Linked DNA regions of Nothobranchius furzeri. The protein of the gene in region 2 interacts with the protein of the main gene of each other region in a pairwise test. Links are inferred from orthologs where the notes say so. Each region holds a gene or a part of one and is shown on either strand. Other genes may lie near its edges.

The links. The genes of interacting proteins can lie anywhere in the genome.
Region 1: the proteins of aptx (region 2) and xrcc4 interact in binary tests that used the Homo sapiens proteins (3 or more experiments, as listed by UniProt). The link is inferred for Nothobranchius furzeri from reciprocal best matches to the Homo sapiens genes APTX and XRCC4.

What each region holds. Positions count from the first base shown.
Region 1 is NC_091746.1:37,558,837-37,562,876, forward strand, and holds part of xrcc4 (DNA repair protein XRCC4), read right to left. Parts: intron 2,159-4,040; coding exon 1,992-2,158; intron 1,605-1,991; coding exon 1,473-1,604; intron 1,263-1,472; coding exon 1,111-1,262; intron 1-1,110.
Region 2 is NC_091746.1:79,989,000-79,991,815, forward strand, and holds the end of aptx (aprataxin), read right to left. Parts: intron 1,364-2,816; coding exon 1,260-1,363; intron 1,177-1,259; coding exon 1,022-1,176; 3' UTR 803-1,021; downstream 1-802. UniProt on the Homo sapiens protein: DNA-binding protein involved in single-strand DNA break repair, double-strand DNA break repair and base excision repair.

The DNA.
Region 1 (4,040 bases), about 42 Mb from region 2:
GCACCCACAACGTGACTGGTGATCAGAATTGGCAGATATTCGGCGTGAGTCGTTATGAAACTCAAAAATATGATTTTCCCCTCCGGTCTGTGAATGCACCAGCGACAGATGCTAATTCACACCAGCAATCAGAGATTCATGAGGACTCTTTATTTGCAAAACATGTAAGGTGCTTAAAACAGATCTAGAGAACTCACAAGAGGTGTGAGAGGCAGACAGACAAAAATGATTTTTTACAGATCATTGGCTTATCATGTCAGTGCCATTAGAGAGCCGACACTGGCCCGAAGCACATACTGTAGGTGGTCATTCCACCCCAGCTTAATGTTCATGCTCAAAATGATTATTTTACCATTTAAGTCAATTATTTTGTTTTCAACCAATGCCAGTTGAGGTCAAGTATTTTTAAAAACCTAAAACTACATAAATTAAAGTGAACATTTTCAAAAATTTAAAGCACCCAAAGAACACTGGAGCATAAACCTGTAGGTGTGTTGTAATAAAGACCGACCGACAGACACATAAATAGCTGTCAGATGTTAAACAATACATCTGTTTATATATTTTTAATGTAAAGAAAATATCAGCTTAGCTGGATTATTAGATTTCCAGTTTGAGACAAAAACGTCTCGGTCATCTGCTCTATGTAAAAGATTTCATCAGTGATTATTTTATCTTGAATAAATAACTAAACTAGAAAATGTGATCTAGAATAAAAGACTGACACTGAAAAAACAACAATAGATTCTCAACAGATATTATTAATAGCCATATAGAGCCTTTCAACTTTAATCTGCTTCACTAGCTGGATTTATTTAACTGGAAACTGTGAACGCGTTCAAATATATATACCCAACTCCTACTTTACAAAACACTTTAAGAAACATTTGATCTTACCAAAATATCAGCAGGTTAGAGCTTTACAAGAATCTGTCCAGTAAAATCAAATCCCCCTCAATAATTTCAGTAAACTCGCATTTGCTGCTTGCTGGCAACATTCAGTTATCTGATAAAGTGAAATCATTAGTGAACACCTACCACTGGTGACACTAAATGGTTAACCAGTTGATCATATGAGTGTTCTGGAGAACAGCAAAGTGACTATCGTACCTCTGGAAGGTAGATCAGGAACTGGTGTTGGCTGCACGTCCTCTGGCTCTTCATCAGTGCTGCCTCCATACTCATCCTCCTCCACCTCACCACCCTGACCTGCTGTTTGGTCTGACTTTGCAGAATCTCTGCTCCTCTGTCCATCAGAAGTCCTGTGGAGGAGCCACATTAGAATGATACAAAGCTTTTTAGGTCACCGCCAAACTTAAAAAGAAACTCAGTGACTCAGAAAATGTCATAAATACAGAATCAAAGACATTTTTTGAGCATCTGAAGCTCTGAAGAAAATGTGAGGCACCTCAGCATGCTGAGTTTGTGCACCGATGGTAAACTTGTAAAGATGGTTAATGTGTAAAACGTACTTTGCTTCCTGCAGGTTTGTGACGGTTTCCTGCAAACTGCGGATCTTTGCTTTCTTCTCATTGAGGACCAGAACAAACCGAGAGTACAGCTCTGCCTCAAGGGCCTCTTTACCCTCAGAGTAGCCCTTCAGCCTGGAAGAGGAGACACGCAGGCGCACACACACACACACGCACACACACACACACGCACACACACACACACTGATTCTTATCCGGATATAATCTGACTATATTTGTGATCTCACATTTTAACCTGATAATTAAGAGGCTCACAGAGGACAGATAAGAGCTGGCCTCCAATAGCTGTTTCCCTCACGTGACATCTGCAGCTGTGTGAAACTCAAATAGGGGGTCGGAGTAAGTCATTCCGCTCTAAGAGTCGTTTTGTTCGCGACCGACATCACCAATTCGTAGCCTTTCAGTGTTTCTGAGCAATGGTACTGTCTGGCCTATATGTCACCTTGAAGCAGCGGGATTTGTTTGTTTGCTGTGCACGTGTGTGTGTGCGTATGTGTTTACTGTGCAGTGATGCTCTGGTGTTCTCGTCTCAGCCTCTGGTTCTCCTCTGTCAGTTTGTGGTTGCGCTGCTGCAGAGTGTTTCCTCGCTGCAGACTGTGGATCAGCACCTGCCTTACTGCCTCCACTGGCTCCGAGACGGCCTTCAGATGGACACAGCCCAGTCTGAACTACAGCAGACACAAATAAACCTTTATTTATTGAGTACGCCTGAGCCCGTAAAACAACGGTGTCTGGATCTGCACATCTACATTCATCCATAAAAAATAAAGCATCTCAAATGTATTCATTTCATGGATTTGGCTGATTGATTTGTTTTCTAGTTTCTTTGGTACATTATCAGCAGTAGCCATGGTATATGGGTCACTCTTTCTTTGAAAATGCTTGCTGGATTTAGACAAGTTTTATAAATTGCTTCACACTGCTTTTCACTACAACCCCATGTTTCTAAAGGATGGGAAGCAGTTTCAAACGTAAACTAAACCAGAATTAAATGATCAAATCTCATCAACCCATTATGATTGAATAAGTACTAATTACTGTTATATTTCATTATTCCTTTAATTCCTACTGTATAAAAAATATTTTGTATGTTATTTGTGCTGTAAAACATTTAATCACTACAGTAAAGTTAAAAAGGAGCCTAAGTCTCCTCCCTTTCCAGTCGGCTCTTGGGTCACCGGAAGAACAAAAAAATGAATGCAAGTCAACGGGGCTAAAAGAGCTATTTTCTAATCCACTTTGCCTTAGACCCTGGATCGCACATATGTTGTACTGCTATTTAAATGAAAAGTAATGTCGGGTGTTTCGACCACACCTGTCACATACTTTGAGATTTATCAGCTTGTAAAAGTTCATAATTAGCATGGCTACAAATCAGACATCAGCACGTTGCATATGTGACCTCAGAATCTCCTCTCCACTAGCGTAGCTGCTACTTACCACATGGCCATATTTATGGTGGTTCTTTCCTCCTGAAGGAAGGATTTGAAGTTTTCTGAACTTACAGCCATTTTCTCTCTGTTTTTATCCGTGCCTGGTTCGATGATGTCACTTTGGTGATTCACATTTGTAGTCCTGGGCTTATTTTCACACAAAATCTAAAATGGTGTTTCTCTCCGTTCGAAAATAAGCGAGTTCTTGGCATCAGACTGAGTCTTTAAAGTTCACGGACATCATATGTGAAATCCATGGTACATAACAAGCAGAAATAGAAAATAACTTGCATTCATTTTTTCTTTCTTCCAGGGACCCATGGTCCAGAAGTAGATGGGTGTGACTTAGGCTCCCTATCGGCGTCCACAATGCTACACCATTTTACCCTTACACCGTTTATAACAGACGTCTTTTCAAAATTTCAGTGTTTATATATAATAATAAGTATAAAGGAATGAATCAATTAAATAAATTGGACTTTGTCAGGAATGTAATCGTTCAAACATACCGGTATTATTACAACGCAACTTAATAGAAACGTGGTCCTCCAAAGAAGAGGCTGAGGGTGTTGACGAAAAAATGACAACCTGAGGAGGAATGTGTGCATGAGTGAAGCTCATATATCTTCATGTTGATGCCTCATGGTGTGGGTGAATGTCTGCAGGCATGTATTATTGGGGAAGTTGTGACTGAACAGGGAGAGCGGTTGTACACGTGGGCAAGATACTAAACTCAGAAAGTTACCATCTGAACAGCAGCTCACTGCTCCTCAGGGATGGGTCAGAGAGGAATTTCCCCAGTAAATGAAGACAATTTCAAAGATTACCTAAATTTGCAGGCATACTCGTTTTGATCAGAGTGGGATCATCTGATAGGAATACCTTTAATCTCAACTAAAGTAAAGCCTTTTTCTTGATTATTCCTTGATCTGATTCTTACTCAGGGGAGTTAAAAAAAACATCTTTCATTATGTATGATGTATTCTCACCTTCTGTATTTCTTCTGAGTGTTTCCTACTTGCCAGCTATTACTTCACTGCCTTATGGAAATGTTAAGTAAATAAACTCAGGCTGAAATGCTCCTTGAAGTGGAAACACCTCTTCTGAGTTGCTGAAG
Region 2 (2,816 bases):
TACCTTTGTGTCGGTCTAAACATGGCTTTTTATCTCAGCAGGTGAGAATCTGGTGTTAATACATTCGTGGGTTTGACCGTTGAATGGGCCATTGACTGTTTTAAACTTTCTTATGATTCTTTTGGCATTCAATTCATGAGTAGTCCCACGTAGAGCAATGATTTGGTACTTTATAATCGAAATGTCACAAACATCACATTAAACACTAGATGGAGACAAAGGAACAAAATGTCACTAAAATAAAACAACAAGCGCCTCTAAACGGCCCTTTTTGATTGGCAGCAAAACAACTGATCATCAAAATTAACGTGTATCATTTTACCAGAGATAATGCAGAGCTGAAAAGTATTGACACTGTATGTTAAAAATGACTTCTTGCTGAATTAGATGTAACGTTTTAACACAGGTGGAATTTGTGAATGTAATCTGGGCTCAGTGTGTTTATTATCATATTCTGTGTAACCCATTCACAGACTTGTTCTTTTTAATTAAGATTACTCACCAGCGTTTATTCTAAGTCTTCCTATTAGCTTTTAATTTTACATTTTAGACACATACCCGTGGTCGACGCTCCAGCTTTGCGCCATCTTGAAATAACAGTTGCTGTTTAGGGACACAAATTTGAACGCTTCGCGCGTTAGGATGATGTAACCTACAAAAACCAGCAGGGGGCAGCAATACACCGGCTTAGGTTTGCAGTTCCTCAAATTTTCTGTGATTCACTATTAATTAACTTTTGTAAATAAGGCAGCCATCTTTTAAAAATTCCTGAATATGCTTCATGTCGAGAGAAAAAACAGAATTTAGCTCTTAGATAGCCTTTAATGCAGCATATGTAACGATAATGGTAACAAAAACAACTTGGACTTAACTGTCCTAATGCCTGATGTGACACGTTGTTAAAAATTCAACTGAAATAATCGACACTTTTGTTATTTGAATATTTTTAGTTTTTGCTGAAACTAAACATTTTTCTACAAAATAGGAACAAAGAACTTGTAAAGTTCTTTAAACCAATGTGTCATTTGGAAAAGTGAGATTTGATGTGCTCCTTCAGAGCAGGTATGGTGGGAATCTCTCTGTGACACACGTGGCAGCGGAGATGCAGCTTCAACAGCTCACTGGTGCCTTCTTTAACCGTCACCCTCCCGTCTGTTTCAAGCATCCGGATGACGTCTGTAGGAAGAAAAACCCAGATGTGTGTTTTGGTTCGTCTTTCAAGACTGTTGAGCTACCAAAAACTCAATATTTGTTCTCACCGTGAGACGGCATGAAGTAGTCGGTTGTAAAAGAGTTCCAGTGTTTTTTGTTCTTCAAACAGGGAGAGTCGAAGTCCTGGCTGATCACATGGAGGTGAATGTGACTGAAACAGATTGTAGAATATTGATTTAAAGAGCAAGTCACCCCCTACCAGAGTTTTAAGCTTGGTTTATGCTTGATGCATTTACTTTCCGCTTGGTGATGCGGCTCGCGGATGGAACGCGCGTCACAACTCGCAGCGTTTATGGTTCATGCGGCTTGTCTCTGCGGTGAGCCAATATTCTCCCAAACTGTAGGGGGCAGCATGGAGCTCTACAGCATGCATCCAACACTACACCATAGTAGAAGTAGAAAGTACTGTTGTTTACAACATGGCATTCCAGCATTTTTTAACCGCGTCCTCGTCTTTTCCGACAGTGCGAGCTATTTCTCTCCAAGAATTATTAACAACGTGTTGATCACGGTGATCTCTGAGAGCTGAATCATACAAATGTCTGGATTAGGGTTGTCACGGTAACCGGTATAGCTGTAAACGGTAAAAAAAGTTGACAATAAAAATAACAGTCCAGTTTTTAAAAAACTAAATTATCTCGGTGGGTTTACCGTGGCCGCGGTTTAGGCGCGGTGACCCTTACCAGCCACCGTCGCTTCTGCTGAAGTTCCCGCGCACACGCACTTTTTAGTTTGCAACCAAAACTTTGAAGCTGAAATAACGGCCGAAGGAGGAGACGGCAGCGCCCAGGACATCCATCAGCCCTCAAAGAAGACTAAATCGGAAGTATGGGCATATTTTGGATTTCTGAAAAACGCTGAGGGACAGTTAATAGAAGACTGCTATCCCGTTTGCAGAAGGTGCAGGAAACAAGTGTCTGCAGAAGGCACTTTGAATCTAATGGCACATCTGTGTGACGATCACTCACGTCTCTACAGCCAGTGCAAGGTAAGTTAGCATTAGCATTTTAGCTTAAATGCATGACGTGAGGACTTTTGGTTGAGGGAGAATGCAACGAGTCACTATATGCTGCAGCCGCAGCGTCCTCTGCCAGCATTTAAACCGTGTCACGGACACCCTGTTGCTGGATGAAGCATCTTATTTGTTGATGATGAAGAGAAATATACAATTAGTTCCTTGTCATTGATTTGTTTACTTATTCAATGCCATTTATACTTGAACATTTGGATTTGATTACATAGTGTAGTAGTTATTTTAGTAATTTGTTTAAAGTGGCTATTTATTTTAAATACATATTTCTTAAGGTTGACTTGTACAGTGCTCAAGTCAAGTGTGGACTGGAGTTTTAGATTTTCATTTTGATAAAGAAGAAAACAAGTATATGAGAAAACAAGTGGTGTTTCTTTGATTTGTTTACATATTGTTTATGTTTCGAATGTTTGGATTTGTATCATTTAAACCTGCACTGACTACTGTAACATGTTCCAGAAAAATAAGCTATTTGTTCCTTTACTTGTGAAAAGTTGCACTTTTGCTAAGGCTTTGTGTTATTTTAGGTTTAATAAACACTGTTAAACCTTTTCTAAACTATTTCAGTGTGTGT